Callithrix jacchus: one gene and its partner. The main gene of each other region encodes a partner of the protein of the gene in region 2 in a complex. Links are inferred from orthologs where the notes say so. Each region holds a gene or a part of one and is shown on either strand. Other genes may lie near its edges.

What was found. The genes of interacting proteins can lie anywhere in the genome.
Region 1: the proteins of SLF2 (region 2) and SIMC1 are in contact, whole or in part, in a cryo-EM structure (PDB 7T5P), measured with the Homo sapiens proteins. The link is inferred for Callithrix jacchus from reciprocal best matches to the Homo sapiens genes SLF2 and SIMC1. Residues at the interface, in NP_060591.3 of Homo sapiens: His738, Val772, Leu775, Lys778, Asp783, Phe786, Gln790, Gly791, Phe792, Thr794, Ser795, Ala796, Tyr797, His798, Tyr799, Cys820, Ile821, Gln825, Ser828, Met831, Glu832, Ile835, Arg836, Asp838, Thr839, Ser841, Asp842, Ser843, Pro847, Lys919; in NP_001295125.1 of Homo sapiens: Tyr426, Arg428, Leu431, Lys435, Leu438, Pro440, Val442, His443, His444, Leu445, Phe447, Gln448, Arg470, Arg471, Phe490, Asp493, Pro497, Val521, Asp522, Lys525, Glu526, Tyr528, Met529, Met532, Lys533, Gln536, Leu537, Arg571, Asn658, Gln661.

What each region holds. Positions count from the first base shown.
Region 1 is NC_133503.1:70,918,922-70,924,778, forward strand, and holds part of SIMC1 (SUMO-interacting motif-containing protein 1), read right to left. Parts: intron 3,984-5,857; coding exon 2,601-3,983; intron 1-2,600.
Region 2 is NC_133513.1:93,841,457-93,847,313, reverse strand, and holds part of SLF2 (SMC5-SMC6 complex localization factor protein 2), read right to left. Parts: intron 2,951-5,857; coding exon 1,965-2,950; exon of another isoform or gene 1,456-1,964; coding exon of another isoform or gene 1,450-1,455; intron 991-1,449; coding exon 920-990; intron 1-919. UniProt on the Homo sapiens protein: Plays a role in the DNA damage response (DDR) pathway by regulating postreplication repair of UV-damaged DNA and genomic stability maintenance.

The DNA.
Region 1 (5,857 bases), on a different chromosome or scaffold from region 2:
GGTTCAAGAGGTAGCCTAGGTTGATTTTGGGGTGAGGGTAACTAGAGACTTAGGGGTAGCTGTGATACTATCTCAGCTACTGAAATAGAGAGATAAGAAAGAAGTTTTAAATTTGGTTGTTAGGAGAAGAATTCCATTTTTCTTTTGTGAGAACAATAAATATTAAGTTGCTTCTTCCCCCAAAAAATATGCATATAAAGACTGAGAGAGAATATGTGAAAAGTGATTTTCTATTATGTGGGTGGTGGAATTAGGGTTTATTTTTCCTCTATGTGCTCTTCCATATTCAATTTTTCCATAATAGACACTTACTACTTTTATAATTAGAAGAAAACAATTTTAAAGTTTGATTGACATGAGGATTTAATAACAATAAATTCTGAACTCCTATTTTTATTTTTATTTATTTATTTATTTATTTTTATTGAGCTGGAGTTTTGCTCTTGTTACCCAGGCTGGAGTTCAGTGGCATGATCATGGCTCACTGCAACCTCTGCCTCCCAGGCTCAAGCTGTCCTCCCACCTCAGCCTCCTGAGTAGCTGGGACTACAGGTGTGTGCCACCATGACCAGCTAGTATTTTGTATTTTTAGTAGAGGTGGGGTTTCGCCATGTTGCCTAGGCTGGTCTCGAACTCGTGAGCTCAAGCTATCAACCTATCTTGGCCTTCCAAAGTGCTGGGATTACAGATGTGAGCCATTGTGTCTGGCCTTAAGCAATTAATATTATTTTGAGACAGGGTCTTGCTTTGCCTCCCAGGCTGGAGTGCAGTGGTGCGATCTCGGCTCACTGCAACTTCTGCCTCCGAGGCTCAAACAATCTTCCTGCCTTGGTCTCCCAAGTAGCTAGGACACAGGCGTGTGCCACCACATTCGGCTAATTTTTAAATTTTTTATAAAGGGGGTTTCACCATGATGCCCAGGCTGGTCTCAAACTCCTGGGTTCCAGCAACCCACCTACCATGGCCTCCCAAAATGCTGGGATTACAGGCGTGAGCCACTGCACCCAGCAATGAACACTTAATTTATTCTCAACTAGTTCTTACAACAATCTTAGGAAATACGTATCATTTTTATTCCTATTTTATAAATAAAGAAACTGAGATTTGGAGGGTAAGCATTTGTCATACAACAAATGGCAGAAGCTGGTTTCAAACACAGGTGGCATAAACCTCAGAGCCATTCTTTCAACCCGTACTCCCCATAAACAACAAAAATAGTAAGTGTATATGTTAAAAACCCAATTATTAAACTATATAAAATGCCTATGTATAAAAAGGCAACTGAAAAGGAAATACATCAAGTTATTCATAATAATAAATACTGTCTGGGCCGGGCATGTTGGCTCACACCTGTAATCCCAGGCTGCCTCCCAGGCACAAGCCCAGCACTTTGGGAGTCTGAGGTGGGCAGATCACCTGAGATCAGGAGTTCAGGACCAGCCTGGCCAATATGGCGAAATCCTGTCTCTACTAAAAATACAAAACAAAAAATTAGCTGGGTGTAGTGGCAGACACCTGTAATCCCAGCTACTCAGGAGGCTGAGGCAGGAAAATTGCTTGAACCTGGGAGGTGGAAATTGCAGTGAGCCGAGATTACACCACTGCACTCCAGCCTGGGCAACAGAGTGAGACTCTGTTTCAAAAGAAAAGAATGAGCTAGTGGTCAGGCAGAGGCATTCAGAAGGAGGACATAACACATATTAGAATACATAATAATTTTAAAAAAGAAAAAAATCATTCTCTAAGCTCAAATCAGTGTGAACACTTGGATCCTTCCTACTTGGATCACTGCTTCAATGAGGCGAGTTTTGACTTTGACAGTGAACTGTTTCAATCTGGTTTTCTTAATATGAGGGATGGGATGTATACCACTAAAAAAACAGTTCATACTGTGGAACTTAGCCACAATTATTTTCCCTCACATATCTAATTTATTTCTCACAAATCAATGACGACCAATGGAAAGTAGCATACCCACTAATGTCTAAAACTGAATTTCCTCCCCCAGAGTCAGAGTAGTAATTTTGGAGGCCCTTAAGTGATAGAGTATTATTATCTCTGTGGTATGGAAGCTGTAATAGGGGCATCAGGAAGGGAAAGACATAAGAGTTGAAGATATTTATTTTTTTTTTTGAGACAGAGTCCTGCTCTGTGGCCCAGGCTGGAGTGTAGTGGTGCAGTCTCAGCTCACTGCAACCTCTGCCTCCGGGATTCTAGTGATTCTCCTGCCTCAGCCTCCTGAGTAGCTGGGATTACAGGTGCATGCCACCATGCCCAGCTAGAAGGTAAGAATTTACATATAAGATGAGCCCAACACCCTGGTACTTTACATATATGACCCTGTGAGGTATGTTATTATCTCCACTTTACAGATAGAAAAGCTAAGGCTCAAAAAGGTCAAGTCCCAGTTTTTAAGTGTGGGGCTAAAATTTGAACCCAGATCTGAGCTTCTACACTGAATGGGTCTTCACAAGTGGAAGAAAGATAAAAATTTTCATTTATGCTTGACCTGTCCTCTCATGCATGTACTCCAGTCACACTGACTTTCTCCCAGGCTTAGGAAAAGGACATCTAATCCCTAGGGGAAGATGTTAACTCACCTCTCTTGTGTCTTTATCTGGTATTAGTGTCTGGAAGAAGAGATGATGAACTGGAGGTCGTAAGAAGTACTTCAGTCTATGCAGGCATGGTCTGTTGTACAACCCACCTTGTGGTGTTCGTGCTTGTACATGGGAAAACCCAGGTTTGGAAGGCTCTGACAGTGATATTTCTTTTCTGGCTGGGGTTTCCATGACAGAGAGCCAAGGAACTTTCTCTAAGGAAGTTTCAGACTGTGGGGACTGTGGGCTGGGAGAGCAGCTTGGAGAGGATGGAGCTGAGATATCCATAGGCATGTCCTGGTTCTGTATATCATTCTGGGTAGAGTCAGGCCTGTCTCCTGGAAAGTGAGGCATGTCTTGAGGTGAGTGTGGCACCTCCCCTGATGAGTGTGGCATGTCTCCAGGTGAATATAATACATCTCCTGTAAAGTGTGGCATGCCCCCTGGTGACTGGGGTGCATCTGGTGATGGTGGAGCATCACCTGGTGACTGTGGCACATCTCCTGGTGACTGTGGTACATCTGGTGATTGTGGCATATCTCCTGGTGTCCGTGGCACATCTCCTGGTGACTGTGGCATGTCTTGCAGGTATGTCACATCTTGTGGATGTAATATCCTTTGAGGTGGGCCTGGTACAACTTGAGGAGGTAAGCCCAGAGAGTCTTGAGGTGGGCTTGGTGAGTGCTGAGGATGCCATAATGAGTCTTGAGGTGGGCTTGGCATACTTTGCTGAGGGCATGACACTTCTTGAGGTGGGTGAGTTAGAGCTGGCACTTGGCACTGCATGGTTTGTAATGGGCATGACAAAGCTCGTGGTGGGCAAGAGGAGGCTCGTGGTGGACATGGTGAGGTTCTCAGTGGACACGGCAAGGCTTGTGGTGGGCGAGGCACATCTTGCTGTGGGCATAGCAAAGGTGCCCTTTGGCTGCTGCTGCTGCTACTATTATTGCTTGTTGGGGAGAGGGAGCTAACATCTGAAGACAGCTGTAGGCCTGTCAAGAAGCTGAGGTTACCAGTGAATGTAGCTGAGCTACAATTAGGCTCCGTTGGATAAACAGAGCCTCCACTGATGAATGTAGGGGGTAGGGGACCTACAAAGTTTTCTTCCACTAGGTCCAAACATACAGGATGACTGTTAATGATTCTTTGTGCCGTAGGCTGCGAGCTTCTGTCCACCTGCCCTTCCAACACCTTTTTGCCGGAGAGGCTGGCACATGTCTGAAGACTGGTTGGCTCCTTCTGGGAAGGAGTGACAGGTTCTAAAGTTAAGTCAAGAGTGGCAATAGGTCTATTTTCTTCCTCAGCTCTTGTCAGGTCAATCACACAAAGTCCACTGTGATCTTTTGGCCTTGGTCTGGTCTCTCTAGTTAAGTCAATGAAGTCCTGCAGAAGGATTGTGAGAACAGAAGAGGCCAAGATGGGAGTATTAGCTTTATCTGAGATGACTTAAGTCTTAGCTTTTAAGGATAAGCATTACTTTACCTTTTCACCTCACCGATAAGTTACACATCTTGTATAACATAAACAATAGTTTATTTCCTTCGGTGAACATTTTGGTATTGCCAAAGCTATCAATTTCTTTCTTTTTTTTTTTTTTAGATGCAGTTTCGCTCTCATTGTCCAGGCTGGAGTGCAATGGCGTGATCTCAGATCACTGCAACCTCCACCTTCTGGCTTCAAGTGATTCTCCTGCCTCAGCCTCCCAAGTAGCTGGGATTACAGGCATGTACCACCAGGCCCAGCTAATTTTGTATTTAGGGATTTCTCCATGTTGCTCATGCTGGTCTTGAACTCCTGACCTCAGGTAATCCACTCTCCTTGGACTCCCAAAGTGCTGGTATTACAGGCATTAGCCACCGCGCCCGGCCCAAAGCTGTCAATTTCTATACCTTCTTAAATTCTCCAAATGCCACAGGCAGATGACTAGCATCATAATGGGATTTTTTTTCTGGTCCAAGGTGGACAGGGGAGTAGTAGGAGATATTCCAACCTTAAGTCACAAAGCAAAAAGCAACCTTTGTTTGCTAAGTCAGATACACAGGATAACCTACAACAAAAGCTAAGTAAGAAGTGTGGCAAATGTAAGAGAATCTGTGAACTAAGAACAAGTTCAGTATTTTCATGTATCTTTAATTTTCACAATGACCTGATAAAGTAGGCGTTATCAATCCATCATACGGATGGGGAAACTAGAGTTTAGAGGGGTTAGATTATAATCTTAAGATTATACAGCTAAGTAGCAGAGACAGACATTCGAACACAGATCTGTGTCCTTTTTTCCCTGTGAAGGCCTAGGAATGCACAACTTGATTCAATATATAATCAGTAACATTTTTAAAATCCCTGATCAATCTAGCTAGATATTTATCAACTTTATTGATCTTTTTCATCTGTTTTCTATTTCGCTTATTTCTGACTTCTTTATTATTTCCTTCTTTCTACTTTGGATTTAATTTGCTCTTCTTCTAGCTCCTTAAATGGAAGCTTAGGTTTAGACCTTTTTCTTTTCTAACATTAACATTTAAAACAAAAAATTTTACTGTAATGACTACTTTGGTTTCATCCCACAATTTTAAAAAGCATGTGATTTTTCTGCAGGACATCAATATGTAGTCATTTTATTATCATGTAGTTCAAATTTACTTTTATTATGGTCAGAAAATATACCCTGAAAGATTTTAATCTTTTGAAATACACTGACACTTAAGTCCTAACACACAGCCTACCTTGGTGAATCTTCCTTGTGTACTTAGGGAGAAAAAGTGTATTCTGTATTTGTTAGTTACAGTTCTATAAATATCAATCAGGTCATGGTAGTTAATAGTCTTTTTCAGATCTTTGATTTCTTTACTTTGGTGGGGGAGTATACAGTTACATTACCAATTACTTAGTGAGAAGTATCCAACTATGGCTGTAGCTTTGACTATTTTCTCTCTTAGTTCAGTTGTTTGCGTCATGGATTTTGCAACTATATTTATTAGGTGCATATACATATATAATTCTTATAACTTCCTAACATATTAACTCTTTTATCATTATAGATAGCACATACTTGGTTCTTGCTTTTTTTTGGGTCTAGTCAGACAATCTCTGCCTTTTGTTTACAATTTTGGTCCATTGGGCCGGGCATGGTGGCTCACGCCTGTAATCCTAGCACTTTGGGAGGCCGAGGCGGGTAGATCACGAGGTCAAGAGATCGAGACCGTCCTGGTCAACATGGTGAAACCCCGTCTCTACTAAAAATACAAAAAATTAGC
Region 2 (5,857 bases):
TGGGAGTTACTGTTTAATGGGTATGGAGTTTCAGTTTGGAAAGATGAAAAGTTCTGCAGCTAGATGGTGGTAATGGTTACACAACCTATAAATGTACTTAATGCCACTGAACTGTACATGTAAAACTGTTTAAAATGGTAATTTTATATGTATTTTCCACAAAAAACATACACACACAAAATTCTACCCATGCTTTCGATCAAGAATTTCAGCTACCAGGTACTAGTTGTAACAAACAGAAAGGAATTTATATCATTAGTTAGTGCAGTATACTATAAAAACCTGGATCTTTTGATCCAGTCTATGAACAAGAAAACCCATCTCATTTTTTTTTTGAGATGGGGTCTCCTTCTGTCACCCAGCCTAGAGTGCAGTGGTATAATCACAGCTCACTGCAGCCTTGATTTCCTTGGGATCAGGTGATCCTCCCACCTCAGCCTGTGGGGTTGCTGGGATCACAGGTGTGTGGCACCATGCCTGGCCAATTTTTGTATTTTTTGTAGAGATGGAGTTTCACCTTGTTGCCCAGGCTGGTCTCAAACTCCTGCCTTGGCCTCCTAAAGTACTGGATTACTTTAGTAATCCAACACACCTGGCCTCTTTTTTTTTCATTTGAGATTGAGTCTCGCTCTGCCACCCAGGCTGGAGTGAAGTGGCACCATCACGACTCACTGCAGCCTTGAACTCCTGGGCTCAAGTAATCTTCCTGCCTGGGCCTCCCAAGTGTTGTGATTATAGGTGTGAGCCCCTGTGTCCGGCCAACATATCTTGCCCTAACATAGTTGACAACAGAACTATCAAAATGATACTAGCCTAAAATGCATGCTAATTTCTCATGATTTTTTCAAAAAGGTAAATTAAAAGTAAGCCACAGAAGCAGAATGTTAAATTTAGAAAATTAATCTTTATGCTAACAAACCTTTGTGTGTCTTCCATCTCCTTCACTAGACGCTCTAAGGTATTTGTGTAAGTTCCAGGATGAGCAGGTTCCTAAAACAAGAAGAAAATTTAGAAATACTTTACAACATGTCTCAGTAGAACTGGGATGTTTTCAGTAATTAAGGGTAGTAAAGACTATTTTCTATTTCAATAATCTGGGCCAGGATAACACCTTTCTTAAAGGATAATTTTCATCACCATGCTTTAAATCTACTATTTTGCACTAAAGAACAATTAGATTTTACCACCTATTAGGAAAGTACTTATAAAACCCTGCTAACTTTGAGATCTGACTGCAAACACTTAAGAATGCTGTGGCTACCCTGTCTTTACTTTCAAATTCGATTTTAGTAGAATCAAACTACTCATTTTTAGGTGTTACTACGGAATAGTAACACCTTCCCCACCAAATTTTACAGACATCCTAGAATTCAGCTTATTCCCAAGATAGAATGAAGCACTTTATAAATAAAATTGCACACCACAATCAACAACATTTCTACACTCTACCTTCATTTACAGATGTGGTCTCCAAAGCAGGGGGTGTGCAAGGTGATCCATTGGGGTGCAGGAAGAAAATAATAGAACTTCTATTTATATGGAACTTCTATAGAAACTCCAGTAGAACTTAGTCTATAGTAACTTCTACATAGCTCTATAGGAAAATAGTTATTTTTTTCTTCTTCTTCCTTTTAAATTCTGTTTTTGCATATGCTTTAGAAAGTACACAGTATTATAGTGGTACATATATATAATCTAAAGGTATACACACATGTTGGGGTACATGCTCAAAAATTGTTTACTCACAGACGTGTGTGATCAAAAGAGTTTGGAGACCACTGATTTGCAGTAATAAAACTAAAGATAATGGAAACTCATTTACCAAACAAGAAATACTCCATTTTCAGTCCAATTATGGGTTACAATAAACATTAAATTTTAAAGTAAGTTCCAATAATTCACCCTTTCACTAATTAATCATCTTCCCCTCTTCAAGTAAAGATAAACGTCACAGAACTACTTACTGTATAGTCTGATGACTGGGATCTAAGCCCCTTGGAAAGAGCAGGAGGCTTTCCTGTAGTTGCAGGAGTCTGACTGAAGTTCAAAGCCATTATTTCTTCCAGTGATTTTAATGTTTCCTCTTCCTCATCACTGTCTAGGTTGTAACCTAAACTTTCTTCATCACTATCAAAATCACCCCTTAGTTTTCTTTTCAGTGCATTGCTACCCGCATTAGAATTTCCTGAACTCTCTTTTTCTGAAGGGGCTTTATCTGAAGGTGCTGGAGGGCTTGGGATACATGACACAACTTCCAAAGCAGCTGGGGGAGACTTTGTAGGAGTGCCATATTCTGAGCGCAAAGATCCCCCAGAAAATTTCCCTGAAGATACATTAGAATCAGCCTTATTAGTCTTTGCTTTGTGTTCCCTGTGTTTGGTGGATTCTGCAGAATGCCCAGAACATTCTTTAGATGAGGAACGCTCTTTATCTCTTTTAGAAACTGGAGGAGTACAATTTTTAGCATTTAATGGTACCCGAGAGGAACCGGCACTTGGAACATGGGAAAGTAAAGGTAGTTTTGTCTCCTTTGATGTTACGGAGCTAGCGGTTTTATTTTTCTGAAGGTTGCTAGCTTTTTTAACTGCAGATTTTTCCTGAGGTAAAGGTAAGTGGGGTTTCTGCATCTTAGTCTCTTTGGTACTTGCCACTCGGATTTGGTCACTATTCCTGGAAGAATGGTGGCCAGAATTTGAAGGTGCCAAGCCTGCAGAAGGGCGATCAGTTTCATAATTCGGTTCCTTGGATATGTCTTCTAAGCGCAACACATCACCAGGTGTCTTCAGTGCAATATGTCTTATAAATTTTTCTTTCTGATGTGGTCCATCAGGACGCTTCTCAAGGAAGGACTCTTTTGCTTTTGGTGTCATAGATTCTCTTGTGCTTTTCAGATCTGAGTCCACAGAATTCCTTTTTCTTTTGTCAGGGAATTTATTCTGCTTAGAGCCTGCTAAAATTTAATTTTTGTTAGATTAGTGAAAAATATACTTTCCAACTTTAGTAAAGTTTATTCAGTGAGTGTCTAGAACACCCGAATGAAATGTTTAAAATTCTAAGTATTAAGGCAGAGATTAGTCACCACACATGGAATAAAGAAAAAGAGTAAATGTTATCAACTGGATAAATACTGGTGTTCAAGAAATTTAAAACTAATGACAAATTCTTATTTTCATTCCAAAGCTATGAAAATTAAAGGTACCACTCCCTCAAACAACTGCATACCTGTACCAAGTTAAGGATTCCATAGGCACTTTCCATCAAGTAGAAATTCTTTTAAACCTAGGACTACCTGGTTGCAGAAATGTAATACTTCTACATTTAAACACATATAGAATAAGTAGTTGAAGGCAGATAAATGTGAATTTCTCATTAAAAAAAAAAATCACGTTGGGTCCCAATGCGGTATGACTGGTGTACTTACAAAAGGGAAAATCTGAAGACAAAGACAGACATGCACAGAGGGAATACAAAGGGAAAATGCATAAGGAAAAGATGCTGTGTGACTGGAGTTATGCAGCTGTAAGTCAGGAAATGCTAAAGATTGCAGGCAACACCAGAAGCTAGAACAGGGAAGGAGGTATTCTCCCCTAGAGTTGCCAGAGACATCATGGCCCTATTTGTTAGGGTCACAGCAAGGCAAGCCCATAGATCCCCTCCCTGTTCTCCCCTGCTAAGCCGAGCTCATCACAAAAACAAGTCTCAAGCCTTGTAAACTGGGCACCTACGTTCCAGGATGTGGTCACACCCAGCTCTTGAACCCAGGATGTTGACCTAATTAAGCAGAATGTTGGAGAACCAAGACGCGGTTTTTCTTAGAATAACACCTCGCTACCTGCAACCCCCCTATATAATCCCAATAGTCTGTAAGCCAGACTCCTGCCTTCACTGCCTGTGATGAGGCAGCCAGCCTGGGAGTGGAAATGAACTTGCTAAATCTGACCCTAGGTCTGCCTCTCCATCCTTTTGGTCAACCTTGCATTTTGGTGCTGAAACCTGGGACGGGAGTAGGTGCTGGCTGCTCTCATTCCGCCCCCCACCCCAGCCTCACCGTTCCGAACCCCTTTCCAGACCCAGGAGGGAAACCCCAGACCTCCATTGCCAACTGCGGTTATCTCCATCTGCACCTCCCAGCGGTAAGCTGAATAGAGGTTTTGCCTCTGTTCAGGTTCCATGACCGTTTTCTGTCCAAAAGTTCCAGCGCTAGGCTGAGGACACCCTTCCAGCCCCAGGGACCGGTCCTGTCACCTTGGGGACGCCTCATTCGACAGCGACTGTTTCGAATTCACTGCCTCAGGTAGAGAAAACAGGGCAGAGGACGCTCTCTCCTGTTTTCCTTCTCCTCGGCAGCCTCCTCCTCTTCCGGCCTTTCACTATGGGGTCCAGACAGTCCATTCCATCTAAGACTACCCCTCTAGGATGCCTCCTCCGAAATTTGGACACCCTTGGTCTCCAGTCTGAAGTCAGGCCGAAGAAGATTAACTTTTTATTCTAATATGGCCTGGCCCCAATATAAATTAGACAATGGTTCTCAGTGGCCTGAGAATGGTATTTTCGATTTCAATATTCTCCGGGACCTTGACAATTTCGGTCTGGTAAATGGTCTGAGGTTCCTTATGTTCAGGGTTTCTTTACTCTCCGGAACTACCCCTCTCTCTGTCAGTCCTGCTCTACTTTCCAAATTCCCCTCACCCACTCAAAACCCGACTCAAACCCTCCCACGGTGTGGGGGATGATGCATCTTCTTTCCACCCAGCTGACTTCCCTCCTCCCAGCCAATGCCCCGAGCCTCCACCAGGACACCCTGGACCGCCTTACGCCTCAACTCCAGCTCTCCTCTTGTCCCCTCCTCTCTCCAATCACCTTGCTTCCGACTCTGACTCCTCTCCATCTCTAGCCCACACTTGCTCCAGGACCTGGCATCCCCCACAGCCAGCTCCCTTACTCCCTCTTTGAGAAGTGGCAGGGATGGAAGGCATTGTCCGTGTTCATGTCCCCTTCTCTCTATCGGATCTCTCCCAAATCAAAAAGCGTCTCGAGTCCTTCTCCTTCAATCCAGACACGTACATCAAAGAATTTAAATATCTTATCCAGTCTTATGAACTCACTTGGCATAATCTCTGTATTATCCTCTCTTCTACCCTCCTTCCAAAAAAGAAGGAAAGAGTGTGGCTCACAGCCCAGGCACCTGTTGACAATCTTCATTGGCAAAATCCTACTAAGCCTGTAGGAGCTGCCACCATTCGGGGGAAAGCCAGCCTAGGAATACCAGCCCACAGATCCAGGCCAAGAGTCCCATAACCACATAATTACTTGCCTAATTGAAGGCCTTAACAAAGCTGCCCATAAGGCTATGAATTTTGAAAAACTCAAGTTTCCCAAAAGGGAGACAAAATCCTGCCCAGTTTCTTTCCCACCTTACAGAGGCCCTCCAAAAATACACCCCTGTTAATCCTACCCTCAAGAAGCCATCATAGTTCTTAACACTCATTTTATCTCCTAGTCTGCTCCAGACATCCGGCGTAAACTCAAAAAGGCTGCAGATGGTCCTCAAACCCCACAAGAAGACCTCCTTAACCTGGCCTTCAAGGTCTTCAATAACAGGGATAAACGAAGTAAAATAAACAAGGCCCAAAGAGATCGTGCTAAATACCAGCTTCTATCAGCAGCCATTTGCCAACCTAAACAGCCTGGCTATGGCACCCAGGGGCACAAAAGAGCTGATAGCAGTACACCTCTGAGGGCACGTTTCAAGTGCAGCAAGGAAAGCCATTGGGGGCAGGCATGTCCCAATCCACAGGTGCCAAAAAGCCCTTGCCCCATCTGCCAGCAGACAGGCCACTGGAAGTCTGATTGTCCT